Linked DNA regions of Macaca mulatta. The protein of the gene in region 1 purifies or fractionates together with the protein of each later gene. This does not show direct contact. Links are inferred from orthologs where the notes say so. Each region holds a gene or a part of one and is shown on either strand. Other genes may lie near its edges.

Region 1 (7,603 bases):
AATAAATAAATAAATAAATAAATAAATGAAAAGAAAAACAGGTTAATGGAATGAATGAGTGGAGGCAGAGAGAGGGAGAAAGAAGGAGGGAGAAATTAGAGGCAGAGAGAGAAGCAACAGAAGATGAGATACAGGGCAGAGAGTTAAAGACAGAAACAGCTGAGTGGGGACCAAAGCGGGGAGTGGAGACTCGGGGCAGCTGGTAGGGAAGAGCTGGGGGCCGGTTATGACAAACTGGGCACTATTCAGAGGTTCAGCAGGGCCCAATTACCAGGCAGCCCGATCTTCGGCCTCAGGATCACTTCGAGTGTGGCCTTGTTGAAGATCTCTTTGCTGACCTTCACCTCGGCCGGACCGTACACACCCGCCAGGACAGAGGTGTCACCTGAGGAGACAGCAGGGCGGGAGGGCCTCACTCACAGCTTCCCTGCTCCTGGGGCCCCATTCGTGGCACTGAGCATGATGGCCAGGGCTCCCCATGTCACCCCCGCCATTTGTTGGCAGTGATTCTTTGAGTACTCACTTCATTTCTCTGCCTGCGTATCCTCATTTGTAATATGGGGAAAATAGCAGTCGCTCCCCGCTAGCGTCTTGTGAGGATCAAAGGACACAATTCAAAGAGAACACTTAGAACACTGCGGGGCTCATGCTGAGTGCGCAACAGACTTTAGCTGATATTATTAACATTCATCCATTCATCCATTCAGGCATTCAGGCAGGGTCTCACTCTCATTGCCCAGGCTGGAGTGCAGTGGTGCCATCACAGCTCATTGCAGCCTCAACCTTCTGGGCTCAAGCGATCCTCCTGCCTCAGCCTCTCAAGTAGCTGGAACTCCAGGCACGTGCCACCATGCCTGGGTAATTTTTGTATTTTTAGTGAAGAGGGGATTTTGCCATGTTGCTCAGGCAGGTTGCGAACTCCTGGGCAACTGTAATCCCAAGGTGCTAGGATTACAGGTGTGAGCCACCATGCCTAGCCCTGATATTAGTAACTTTCTTTTTTTTTGAGATGGAGTCTCGCTCTGTTGCTCAGGCTGGAGTGCAGTGGCGTGATCTCGGCTCACTGCAACCTCTGCCTCCCGGGTTCAAGCAGTTCTCCTGCCTCAGCCTACTGAGTAGCTGGGATTACAGGTTCAAGTCACCATGCCCAGTTAATTTTTTTATTTTTAGCAGAGACTGGGTTTCACCATGTTGGTTAGGCTGGTCTCGAACTCCTGACCTCATGATCTGCCCGCCTCGGCCTCCCAAAGTGCTGGGATTACAGACATGAGCCACCATGCCCGGCCACTATTAGTAACTTTTAACAGGAAGTTCTTCCTGAAAGCTAACCATCCTCCCTCTTACTGTCACTGCTCTCAACTTCTCTTTGCAAAGGTTCCCCAGCCCAGCTCTTCCCTTAGGCACTGGTCCCCAAATTCTGCACCAGTCCAGTCTGGACACCTGAGAAAGGAATAATATCTGGAATGAATCCTGATTCCTGCTTATTTCCCCAGAAGCTATAAATGGGGTACAGGAGGTAAGACCGAAGAAATAAATAGCCTGGCTTCTAGTACTGTCTGCTGTAATCCCAGCACTTTGGGAGGCTGAGGTGGGTGGATCACCTGCGGTCAGGAGTTTGAGACCATCCTGGCCAACATGGTGAAACCCCATCTCTACTAAAAATACAAAAATTGGCTGGGCATGGTGGTGGGTGCCTGTAATCTCAGCTACTCGGGAGGCCGAGGCAGAATTGCTGGAACCGGGGAGGCGGAGGTTGCAGTGAGCCGAGATGGCACCATTCCACTCCAGCCTGGACAATAACAGCGAGACTCCGTCTCAAAAAAAAAAAAAAAAAAAAAAAAAAACCCAAAACATTTGAGGCCAGACATGGTGCCTCACACCTGTAATCCCAGCACTCTGGAGGCCCAGGTGGGAGGACTGCTCGAGGCCAGGAGTTTGAGACCTGCCTGAGCAACATAGCAAGACTCCTGTCTCTATTTTCTTTTTTGAGACAAAGTTTCCCTCTGTCACCCAGGAGGCTGGAGTGCAGTTGTGCAATCTCAGCTCACTGCAACCTCCGCCTCCCAGGCTCAAGTGATTCTCGTGCCTCAGCCTCCAGAGTAGCTGAGATTATAGGTGCGTGCCACCTTGTCCGACTAATTTTTGTATTTTTAGTAGAGACGGGTTTTCACCATGTTGGCCAGGCTGGTCTCAGAACTCCTGACCTCGACTGGGCGAGGTGGCTCACGCCTGTAATCCCAGCAATTTGGGAGGCCGAGGCGGGTGGATCACGAGGTCAGGAGTTCAAGATCAGTCTGGCCAACATGGTGAAACCCCGTCTCTACTAAAAACTACAAAAATTAGCTGGGCGTGGGAGCACACGCCTGTGGTCCTGGCTACTCGGGAGGCTGAGGCAGAAGAATCGCTGGAACCTGGGAGGTGGAGGTTGCAGTGAGCCACGATCGCTTCACTGCACTCTAGCCTGGGTGACAGGGCGAGACTCTGTGTCAAAAAAAAAAAAAGAATTACTGACCTCAGGTGATCTACCCTCATCGGCCTCCCAAGGTGCTTGGATTACCGGTGTGAGCAACCCATGTGAGCAACTGCGCCCGGCCCCTTCTTAATTCTTAGGTTCGAAGAAACTTGAGGTATCTCAATTCAGCATAAGTGCTAAGCCTGAGGGAGGGTCCGGGAAGGTCCCTGGTTAAGGCGGTATTTCCTGGGATGCCCAATTTGCCCTTACACGGAAGGTGTGCTTAGTTCCAGGAAAAACTGCCCTGAGGACTGGAGAAACCAAAATAGAACTCGCCTCTGGCTCCAGATGAACTGCCTGTGTTTCGCCTGAGCACAAGAGTCCCTCCCCTCTCACCTTCTTCAAGACGTGGCTCCAGCAATTCTCTCCCCTGTTGACCCCACAACCATCTTCAATTCCTGCCCCACTTATCTGATCCTCTTACAGCAAAACTCCTGAACAGCTGTCTATTCTTCCTTTCCTGTGACCCCACCACTCCACTGCGGCAGCTCAACATCGTCACCACTGACCTCCAAATGATCAACCCTCCATTGACCCGGCTGTCAGTAAGGCCGAAACAGCTGTCAGCCCTCACATCTCAGACACGCTCTTCTCTTGGCCCCAGGTCACCACCCTCTCCCGGTTTCCCCCTAAGTCTCTGGGCGTTCCTTCTGAGTCTCCTTTAGCTTGCTTGTCACAAGTCCCTGACTGCTCAAGTTGGAAGGCCTAGGGCTTGGTCCTGGGACCTCTTTTCCATCTACACTGACTTCGTTCAGTCAATAGGCTGAAATACCATATATACAGCCAGAGAGTTCCAAATTGCCTATGTCCAGCTTGGGTCTCTCTCCTGATTTCCAGACTTGTACAGATCTGGGCAGAAACCTTAGTTATGCCTGACTCTTTTTCCTCGCACTCAAACCAAACTATAGGTAAGTTTTGTCCGTTTTACTTTCAAACTACATCCAGAATCTCATCACCTCCACTACTCCTGTTCTGGCTGGAGCCACCATCACCTCCCTGTTTTCCCCCATACTCCCCACAATCAACACAGCAGCCAGATTTTGTTAAAATGTATTGGGGCTGGGCGTGGTGGCTGGTACCTATATGAGCACTTTGGGAGGAGGACTGCTTGAGTCCAGGAGTTCAAGACCAACCTGGGCAACATCGTGAGACCCTGTCTCAAAATTTTTTTTTTTTTTTTGAGACATTATCTTGTTTTGTCGTGCACACTGGAGTACAATGGCACAATCTTGGCTCACTGCAACTTCTGCCTCCTGGGTTCAAGAGATTCTCCTGCCTCAGCCTCCCCAGTAGCTGGGATTACAGGCGCCCACCACCATGCCTGGCTAATTTTTGTACTTTTAGTAGAGTCGGGGTTTCGCCATGTTGGCCAGGCTGGTCTCGAACTCCTGACCTCAGGTGATCCACCCGCCTTGGCCTCCCAAAGTGTGGGGATTACAGGCGTGAGCCACTGTGCCCAGCCTCCTGTCTCAAACGTTAAAGAGAAATATTCTTGGAGTTAATCTGGTTCTGAGAGTTATTTAGCTAGGGGAAGGGGATATTTGCCCTATAGGTAAGACTTGCCCTAATCTTAGGGATATTTACTCCTGTGGAGAGATGCAGTGAGGTAGCGGTGGGGATGTATTTTTCAACCCAGGGCAGTGACATTATCTTCAATTTGAGGAGTATTTACGTGGGTGAAAGATCCGCCACAGTCCAGAGTATGCAAATTGACAGGTTTGCGTCAGTCCGGGATGCAAGGACCTAGCGGGCGTGTGTGTGGGGCGGGCGGGGGCGGGGGTGAGGAGGAGGAACCTAGTTAAGGGCGATATTTACCCTGGTGAGGTGATTTTCCCTATTCTGAAATATCAATTCTTGCGGGGACGGTCTGCCCCGCCTGTCATTCTCAGACATATTTACAAAGATGGAGCTATCTTCTCCTTTCTAGTCGTGAGGGAGAGATGTATGTATCCCTGCGTATGTAGTAGTATTCAATCGGACAAGAAATCATGTATCAACGCAGGAGTGACATTTACCAGCTGGTATCATGGGGAGATGGGCACTCCGTTGCACGGTACATGGTAGTCCCTCTCCAAAAGACCTGGGTAAGTTCTTACCTTGCAGGAAGGAAGCAGAGCCATCTGGCCGCGACAGCAGGTTCTGTTCGCAGGCAAAGTGCCGGAGGCTGCAGCCGGGACCCCGAGGGCTGCACCCTGTTCCAATTTCAGCGCGGATTTTGGCGTCAGTATGCATCTCCTCCTCCATCGCGCCGACCCCACGTGCGGCTGCGATTATCACTTCCGCCCGGCAGCGCGCGCTGCGAACACTCTGCGTAACCATTGCGCACGCGCTGGGCTCGGCCGTCAGTCCTGGCGTCCGCACGTGGCTTAGCGTTTACCAACAATCTGGCTCCGCCCAGTCCCACCTCCTAACTCTGGCAACGCCATTGGACAGTTGAGAACAGGAGGCAGGCCTTGGCAGTGACCTGTTTTACTCTGGGCCCCCGGGCCCTAAATCCCTGAGGCCGTGGTCAGGTTGCCCTCTTCTTTGCCTGTTACAGGAGTAACTACAATGAGGCGACTGGGGAAAATTTTGGGTAGATAGGTTTTCTTCTCCAAATCTCTGTGCATTCTATCTACAACAGAATGGGAAGAAGGTGATTTTCTTGTCAGATGGTGCTGGAGTTTGTGTCAGGCACATAAAGGGGCAGCCCCGAATCTAGCCTACGTGAGTGCCCTACCGCTGAGTGGTTGCTAGCCAAGATGGCGGTAGCGATCGCTGCGGCGAGGGTCTGGCGGCCAAACCGAGGCCTGAGCCAGGCTGCCCTCTTGCTGCTGTGGCGGCCTGGGGCTCGGGGACTGGCTAGATCTGTGAGTACCTGGGCCCCAGGGGGTTTTCCCAAAGGGGATTAGGGATGTAAAGGCTATCTTCAGAGTGTGGGGTCCCTGAAGGATATGAAGGAAGGGCTGTCACAGAAGGGAAAAAGAGTGGGAGACCCCTTGGAGAAGACACCGAAGGGAAGATCTGCCACTTCCTTAGAAGAAAAGAACTTCCACTTCTTCAGGAGAGGACAAAACCCGTTTGCAACTTCTTTGTGGGCCCTGAGGAAGGGAGACGACTTGAAGAGAGGGATGGGAGTTCCTTATTTATTTATTTAGTTAGTTTTTGAGGCGGAGTCTGGAGTGCAGTGGCCGGATCTCAGCTCACTGCAAGCTCTGCCTCCCGGATTCACGCCGTTCTCCTGCCTCAGCCTCCCGAGTAGCTGGGACTACAGGCGCCCGCCGCCACCCCCGGCTAATTTTTTTTTTTTGCATTTTTAGTAGAGACGGGGTTTCACTGTGTTAGCCAGGATGGTCTCGATCTCCTGACCTCGTGATCCGCCCACCTCGGCCTCCCAAAGTGCTGGAATTACAGGCGTGAGCCAGCGCGCCCGGCCGGGGGTTCCTTATTAACTGCCACTCGTATTCAGGGGAGGTTCCTTGGAGGGACAGGGGAAGACCGCGAGACCTTTTCCCTCAGGCTTTGGAGAATGAAACTGACTTTATAAAGGAGAGACTTTCTTCTGGGCAAAGATCCCTCTTCAAGAAGAAGAAAGAAGAGAGCAAGTCCCCTTATCGCAGGCTGCATAGGGCCTTGTATTTCTTTGCTCCTTTGCCACAATTCTGATTTTAAAATGAATTGTGTAAAAATTTTGTTTGGTTCCTGTGTCTCCTGATCGAATATCAAGACAGGGAACTCGTGTGTTCTGGACACTGTACAGAGGAGATGATTAATATTTGTTGAGTTAATGAGGGGAAAAACGGAGGGACAGAGGTACAGATAGGGCACTTTGCCCACATTTCTTAGAAACACTTGAGAAGGCTTTGTTTCTTGTCAAAAGGGTCACAATCCCTTCAGGTGGATGCTGTCAAAATTACACTGCAAAAAACCTGGGTGGAAGCCTCTCTTTAGAGGGGGAGAGGCAAGGGGTTGCAGAAGAGCTTTGAACTACATTTGACAGATAGGAGAGTAGTGGTTACATGGGTGGGTTCATGTCCTTGCTCTGCCACTTTCCACTTGTGTATTGGGCAACGGACTGCACCTCTCTGGATCTATGGACCTAATTTCCCTCTCTAAAATATTAACAGTGGCCACCTCATAGGACTGTGAAAAATTAATATGTAAAATGCTAAGGACTGGACCTGGCACATCATAAGGGCAATAGGAATGTTGGTCATTGTTGATAGTGAGGGTAGAGGGAAAGGACAGAAACTGACGTTGGAGATGGGGAGAAGAAAAGGGTGACCTTGGGAAGGCCTGGACTGGTGAGGCCCTGCGGAAAAAAATCTTAAAAGATCTTGTGAGGTTGAGTCTGATCCTCTGATCCCCAATCCATAAGGAGGAGAAGATGGAATCTGTAGAAAGAAGCTCTGGGTAGGGGGACAAACGGGAGGAGGGTGAAGAGGATGGGCCAGGAGTAGGACGTAGTAGGTATCTAGGAATGGAGTCACTTGAAACAGGTAAATGCAGAAGGGCTGCAGGAGCAAGATGTGGGTAGGGCAGTCTCCTGCCTTTGGGCTGGAGACCTTTTCACTTTTTTTTTTTTGGAGCAGTTCATATCCTCCACCGCTGATCTCAGTCCCAGGAGCCTATTGGCTGGGCAACTGGGGCGGGAAGTGGGCAGGACTGGGGCAGGGTAGGGAAAGGTCATTTAAGGCTGATTAAATCTTTCTCTCCTGTCTCAATCTCCTGATTACCTTTCCTCTTGCTTCCCCTCCTTCATTTGTGGTGAGGAATGGGGAGGGAAGAAGTCCCTACTTTTAATTTTTTAATATATCTTTAAATTTGTATTATCTTAGAGTTATTGTTTTTTCCCCTTTATTTCTCCCACCTGTTCTTTCTCTCTTCTTTCTTTCCTCTCCTTCTCTTCTCCTCTCCTCCTCCCCTCCCCTCTCCTTTTTCTTTTCTTGTCTTGTCTCGTCTTGTCTCTTCTCTTTTGTTGCTCTCTTTCTTTCTGTACCTCTTTCTCTCTTTTCTTTTTCTTTTTTTTTTTTTTTCTTTTTCTTTTCCTTTTTTTTGAGACAGAGTTTCGCTCTCTTGCCCAGGCTGGAGTGCAGTGGTGTAATCTTGGCT
Region 2 (7,544 bases), on another chromosome or scaffold:
GTTTGTTCCTCCCTGAAAGTCTATTCCCGTAACCCTTCCAGCCTTAACTCCCATCTTTACCCTATTCCCCAACGTCACACTCAACTTCTGTTCCTGTCACTAATCCACGTGACCAGAATCTCCAATTTCCTTAGCAATGTTCAGTAGGCCTGGAGCAACGTTACACTCAACTTCTGTTCCTGTCACTACTCCACATGACTAGAATCTCCAACTTCCTTAGCAATGTTCAGTAGGCCTGGAGCTACTGAACATGGGGCATTAGCAAATGGCCACAGAGGAAAGAGGACTGGCAAAAGCATCTTTAAAACAGCTAACTGGGAGATGTGACCATGAAGGAAGGGAACTGAGGTGCTATCATAGCCCTTTCCCTCTACTTGGAATACCCGTGTTCCTCCGTTTTGCATTGCTATGCAGGAATACCTGAGGTTGGGTAATTTAATAACGAAAAGAGGTTAGATTTGGCTCCCAGTTCTGCAGGCTACACAACAAGCACGGTACCAGCATCTGCTTTTGGTGAGATAAAGGGGGAGCAGACATGTGACATGGCGGGAGAAGCGGCAAGAGACAGAAGAGGAGCTTCCATGCTCTTTTAAACAACCAGCACTAGGAGTGAACTAACAGAGTGAGAACTCAACTCATTACCTCAAGGACAAAACCAAGACATTGTCTGCCTCCATGACCCAAATATCTCCCACCGGGCCTACCTCCAACACTGGAAGTCACATTTCAACAAGAGATCTGGAGGAGACACACACCCAAATCATATCAACCTCCTCTTCATAACTGTCTCCATTTTCTTGGCCTATCAATCCTTTAAAACCCACATCAAATGCTCCCTCCTCTATAAAGGTGTCCATACCTCCCAAACAAAGGTAGTCTCTTCTTCCTCTTTGCTCCCAAGTTTCTCTGAATATAACTGTAATACAGTTATCACACTGCTGTGCAACTATATGCTTGACTTAACGTAATGACATATCTATCAATAACACTCCTCAAGTTCTTGATAAATCCAAAGGTGTCAATCCTCACTTCACCCGATCCATCAGCTGCACTACTCTACTCTAAATTCCACAACACCAGACTCAAAATTGTCCTTGTCCCTCACTGGCTGCTCAGGCTGTCTCATTTGGTGGTTATTCCTCATTTTCCTAACTTGTTAATGTTAAAATGCCTAAGGACTCAGGCCTTGTGCCCCTTCTCTTTTCTGCCTACATTTACTCTTTTAACGACTGTCTCTGGTCTCACAACTTTAAATACCATCTGTTCACTGACAACTCTCAAATGTCTGTTTCCAGCAATGACCACTCTGAAGTCCGGAATGAACATACTTAACTGCCTACTCAACATCTCCGCTTAGATGACTAACAGACATTACAAACTTATCACCTCCTTAACTGAACTCCGAATCTTCCCACAAACCTGCCCCTCCCACAGTTTTCTATTTCTCAGTTAACGGCAATTTCATTCTTCTAGTTGCTCAAGCCCCAAACTTTGACAATAACCTTATTCTTACAATTCACTTTCAATCTGTAAGCAATTCTATTGGCTTTTCCTAGAAAATACATCTAAAATTAAACTGCTTCTCCATCTTCACTTCTTTCCAATTAAGATGTTATCATCTCATCTGAACTACAACACCTCCATGATTAGTCTCATGGTTTTCACCTACCCCACCCCACAACAAACTATTCTTAACACAGAAGCCACAGAAGATTCTATTAAAACCTAAGTCAGGCCAGGCGCAGTGGCTGACGCCTGTAATCCCAGCACTTTGGGAGGCCAAGACAGGCAGATCACCTGAGGTCAGAAGTTTAAGACCAGCCTGGCCAACATGGTGAAACCCCATTTCTACTAAAAATACAAAAAAAATTAGCCGGGCGTGGTGACACGTGCCTGTAATCCCAGCTACTTAGGAGGCTGAGGCAGGAGAATCGTTGGAACCCAGGAGGCGGAGGTTGCAGTGAGCTGAGATTGCACCACTGCACTCCAGCCTGGGCAACAGAGCCAGACTCCGAAAGAAAAGAAGTGGGGGGGGTGAGGTGGGGTGGGGCGGGGCGGGGCAGGGCAGGGCAGGAAAGGAAACAAAAGAAAACAAAAGAACAGACAATAAAGTAAAGTAAAACAAAATAAAACATAAAGTAAAATAAAATAAACCTAAGTCAGATCATGTCACTCCTCTGCTCTTACCTTTCCATTGGTTATTTACTCACTGGGCTATTCCTCAAGGTAAGATTCATGTCGAGGTACATTTTGAACACATCACTAACATAATGTCTTGTCATGTATTAGGTATTTAGCAACTATTTGTTAACTAACTAAAACCAACCAAAGTAACCTAAGACCTAATTTTGGAAACTCTTAATATCAGATTACAGTTTGAGCTTACAGATAATAGAAAGTCACCACATGGATCCAAACAAACATATGATCATGTACGTTCTGGGGCTCTTCCCATCTCTACACCAAATAATTATACACAGTTATGAACTAAGCTTGAGAATAAATCCAACATGATTGTGTTTTGGAACTTGAGAGCCACTTGCTGTTGCTGCACCAGAATTCTATCACTCGTAATGAATTACTGGAATGGCTTTTTTGCACTGCATTATCTCAGGAGAAAATAACAATGAAATGTACACACAAGTTCTCAATAAATATTGCTGTCTTGGGCAAACAGTGACTCCATGTTAGTATTGTCTGTGACTCTCCTTCAGTCTCACAGTACAATTCCTGAGTACATACAGACTTCTTCCTTTTCTAAAAAAGATATTAACATCTAAAAATAAATGTATCCAGAAGTCTAATAATAGAGGAGTATATAAATTATGAGGATATTGCTCAAGATTGAGATGAATAACTACATTAGATTAAATTTACTTCTATTCAGTGTTTAATTCAAAGCATTTCCAAAATTACAGCGATCAAGCAGCAAAATTACCTTCCAAAACATATGGAAGTGGCTTATTACAATCACCTCATTTCTTAAATAACAGTATATGGGGTTGCTGCATAGATTAAATAAATAATATAGATAAAAGCCATCAGAACAGGGCCTGGCTCAGCCCTCAATACATTAGATAGTATTTTACCAAAAGTGAAAGTTATCAAATACTCTAATCCATTGTGGACTATGTAGAGCTATGCTTGAAGGGTCAACTGTTTGGAAACAGTAGCTGAGATAATACATATGAAGAGCCATTTGAAAAGGTAAAAGCAGTTAAGAAAAAAAATTGCATTACTTCTGAACTGTGATACATACAACACAGCTAACTGAAGGCAGCTGTAGTATCTTTTGACTGAGAATTTTGTTTTATTTTGAAAAACCATTATTCACACTTATCATTATCTTTCAACAAAACAATGAGTTCTATCATTTCCACTAAACGCAAATACTTCTCTGTACTTCGACAGGGCTAATCTGTTAATTTTGAATCAAAAATACAGGGTTAAATAACTAAAAGTATAATTGGATTGTTTGTAACACAAAGGGTAAGTGCCTGAAGGGATGGATGCCCCATTTTCCATGTGATTATTACACATTGCCTGCCTGTATCAAAACATCTCGTGTACCCCATAAATATATACACCTACTATGTAACCACAAAAATTTTAAATTTAATTTTTTTAAAAATCACGGTTAAGTCTTGGTTCTGTCTACCATCAGACAGTACCAATGGGTTAATAAGTGGATAGCAGACATCTCATTGCGACAAATAAGTCTGTATCAAGCCAAAACTGAATTGTATTCAGCAAACATGAAGACATTAAAGGTATTTTCAAGCAAGTTTTAGTTACACTGAACTTTCCCGGGTCATCAAGAAAAACTGCTCTCTTGGATTACCCACCACAGATTTCAGCTAAAGGTCGAAATTAGCCCACTATCTCAGACGGGCTAATACTGCAGCGGCAGGCAGTCTGTGAATGTGAATGATAAACGGAGCTAACACAGTAAAGTGACTCCCCTAGACGTCCCACTTTAGCCTCTCTCCTTACGCAAGATTTGAAGACAGCTGAAAATTGTGAAGTCATGTTTTTTTTGTTGTTGTTGTTTTTAATTTTTTCGTCTTCCAAGAGTTGAGAAGGGGGTGGTTAACAAACGAAGAAAAAGAGAAAGACCGGAGCAAGAGAGAGAAATGAGGGGCCGGGGTAAGCCAAAGCCTGCAAGCAGCCCCAAAACAAGCGGAAGTGGGGGACCTGCAGCAATGCTGCCCCAGCGAAGAGCTGTGAGACACTGCATTCCTGGAAGGCTATGCAGCCAAACTCCGATTCTCTCAGTCTGCCCAGAGGATTACAGGGGAATCCCAGGAGAGGAAAAGCGGAGTTAAACAGGAGGAGGAGAAAAACTGAAAGTACAACTTTGAAAAATACCTCAGGGCCTTCGACTACAGTCTCCGGAAAGCGGTCGGGCAACGATGACGACAATGACGCGCCGGCTGTGCCCGCGCCGAGGGGCGCTTTCCGATTATCTCACGCTGCTCGCCACGCCCCCGCTCCTTCGCTCTTCTCTAAAGGCAAATCTCGAAATGAGTAGCTCGGGGCCATGTTGTGGGAGAGGATTGCGGCGGCACTCTGGGAACCTTTGTCTACATTTGTACCCGGCCAACACTCAGCCCAAATACAGGTTGAGTGTATTTAACCAGGAAAGAAATCTTAGTTACTGAAACTTTGTATTTTTACTTTCCCGGGAGCTTTTCCAGGGCCCTCACTGTTACTACGCTTTTATTGTCTGCCTCAAGATCAGCGTCTTAGAGCAGCTTCCCAGATTATCCGTGGGGAAGAATGGGTTGTTTTTCCAATCTGTCAGTAAAAGATACTTCTATAATACAGTAAAAATGAATTAGTAGAAAAATGGGGAAAATATGTGCAAAATACAAGCCCAAATTTTTTATTATTAGTTTCAGTAAATGTAAAATTGCATTTCAACGTATGCAATCAGAAGAAACATAATAGAAAATAAAGGCATTAACAGAAACTGTACATATTGTTCGTTGAAAGTTTAGTATAAGCGATTGAGCATTGTCTTAACATTTGTAACTTGTCATTCCATGATCATAATTTGATAAAAATTTATGCCTGAGTTGTCCATATATTAAATGCATGTAAAAGCATTTTGAACAAGCACCATGTATGTAATATTTAAAGTTTGGGGGAGGTCACAAGATGGCCGAATAGGAACAGCTCCAATCTGCAGCTCCCAGTGTGAGTGAGGCAGAAGACAGGTGATTTCTGCATTTCCAACTGAGGTACCAAGTTCATCTCACTAGGGCTTCTCAGACAGTGGGTGGAGCCCACAGAGCAGGGCGGGGCATGACCTCACCTGGGAAGCACAAGGGGTCCGGGAATTCCCTTTCCTGGCAAAGGGAAACCGTGATAGACCATAACTGGAAAATCAGTACACTCCCACCCTAATACTGCATTTTTCCAGCGGTCTTAGCAAACGGCACACCAGGAGATTATATCCCGTGCCAGGATCGGAGGGTCCCACACCCACAGAGCCTTGCTCACTGCTAGCACAGCAGTCTGAGATCGAACTGCAAGGCAGCAGCGAGGCTCAGGGAGGGACATCTGCCATTACTGTGGCTTGAGTAGGTAAACAAAGTGGCTGGGAAGCTGGAACTGGGTGGAGCCCACCGCAGCTCAAGGAAGCCTGCCTGCCTCTGTAGACTCCACCTCTGGGGGTGGGGCATAACTGAAAAAAAGACAGCAGAAACTTCTGCAGACTTAAACGTCCCTATCTGACAGCTTTGAAGAGAGTACTGCTTCTCCCAGCGCGGAGTTTGAGATCTGAGAACGGACAGACTGCCTCCTCAAGTGGGTCCCTGACCCCTGAGTAGCCTAACTGGAGACACCTCTCTGTAGGGGCCAACTAACAATTCATACAGGTGGGTGCCCCTCTGAGATGAAGCTTCCAGGGGAAGGATCAGGCAGCAACATTTGCTGTTCTGCAGCCTCTGCTGGTGATTCCCAGGTAAACAAGGTCTGGAGTGGACCTCCAGCAAACTCCAGCAGACCTGCAGCTGAGGGTCCTGGCTGTTAGAAGGAAAACTAACAAACAGGAAGGACATCCACACCAAAACCCCATCTGTATGTCACCATCATCAAAGACCAAAGGTAGATAAAACCACAAAGATGGGGAGAAATCAGAGCAGAAAAGCTGAAAATTCTAAAAATCAGAGTGTCTCTTCTCCTCCAAAGGAACACAGCTCCTCGCCAGCAATGGAACAAAGCTGGATGGCGAATGACTTTGAAAAGTTGAGAGAAGAAGGCTTCAGATGATCAGTAGTAACAAACTTCTCCGAGCTAAAGGAGGATGTTCAAACCCATCGCAAAGAGCTAAAAACCTGAAGAAAGATTAAACGAATGACTAACTAGAAAAAACAGTGTAGAGAAGTCCTTAAATGACCTGATGGAGCTGAAAACCATGGCACAAGAACTATGTGACACATGCACAAGCTTCAGTAGCCGATTTGATCAAGTGGAAGAAACAGTATCAGTGATTGAAGATCAAATGAATGAAATGAAATGAGAAGTTTAGAGAAAAAAGAATAAAAAGAAATGAACAAAGCCTCCAAGAAATATGGGACTATGTGAAACGACCAAATCTACATCTGATTTGTGTACCTGAAAGTGACGGGGAGAATGGAACCAAGTTGGAAAACACTCTTCAGGACATTATTCAGGAGAACTTCCCCAATCTAGCAAAGCTGGCCAGCATGCAAATTCAGGAAATACAGAGAACACCACAAAGATACTCCTTGAGAAGAGCAACTCCAAGACACATCACTATCAGATTCACCGAAGTTGAAATGAAGGAAAAAATGTTAAGGGCAGCCAGAGAGAAAGGTTGGGTTACCCACAAAGGGAAGCCCATCAGACTAATAGCAGATCTCTCGGCAGAAACTCTACAAACCAGAAGAGAGTGGGGGCCAATATTCAACATTCTTAAAGAAAAGAATTTTCAACCCAGAATATCATATCCACCCAAACTAAGCTTCATAAAGGAAGGAGAAATAAAATCCTTTACAAACAAACAAATGCTGAGAGATTTTGTCACCGCCAGGCCTGCCTTACAAGAGCTCCTGAAGGAAGCACTAAACACAGAAAGGAACAACTGGAACCAGCCACTGCAAAAACATGCCAAATTGTAAAGACCATCAATGCTAGGAAGAAACTGCATCAACTAACAAGCAGAATAACCAGCTAACATCATAATGACAAGATTAAGTTCACACATAACAATATTAGCCTTAAATGTAAACGGGCTAAATGCTCCAATTAAAAGACACAGACTGGCAGTTTGGATAAAGAGTCAGGACCCATCAGGTGCGGTATTCAGGAGACCCATCTCATGTGCAGAGACACACATAGGCTCAAAATAAAGGGATGGAGGAAGATCTACCAAGCAAATGGAAAACAAAAAAAAAGCAGGGGTTGCAATCCTAATCTCTGATAAAACAGACTTTAAACCAACAAAGATCAAAAGAGACAAAGAAGGCCACTACATAATGGTAAATAGATCAGTTCAAATAGAAGAGCTAACTATC

The links.
Region 2: the proteins of EXOSC5 (region 1) and C1D purify together in Homo sapiens (affinity purification with mass spectrometry; 4 studies listed by BioGRID and IntAct, counting the BioPlex papers as one, with this or other methods). This does not show direct contact. The link is inferred for Macaca mulatta from reciprocal best matches to the Homo sapiens genes EXOSC5 and C1D.

What each region holds. Positions count from the first base shown.
Region 1 is NC_133424.1:52,539,141-52,546,743, forward strand, and holds the start of EXOSC5 (exosome complex component RRP46), read right to left. Parts: upstream 4,822-7,603; 5' UTR 4,757-4,821; coding exon 4,609-4,756; intron 386-4,608; coding exon 272-385; intron 1-271. Other genes in the region: BCKDHA (2-oxoisovalerate dehydrogenase subunit alpha, mitochondrial), read left to right, coding at 5,254-5,361. UniProt on the Homo sapiens protein: Non-catalytic component of the RNA exosome complex which has 3'->5' exoribonuclease activity and participates in a multitude of cellular RNA processing and degradation events.
Region 2 is NC_133418.1:56,664,215-56,671,758, reverse strand, and holds the start of C1D (nuclear nucleic acid-binding protein C1D), read right to left. Parts: upstream 4,421-7,544; 5' UTR 4,369-4,420; intron 1-4,368. UniProt on the Homo sapiens protein: Plays a role in the recruitment of the RNA exosome complex to pre-rRNA to mediate the 3'-5' end processing of the 5.8S rRNA; this function may include MPHOSPH6.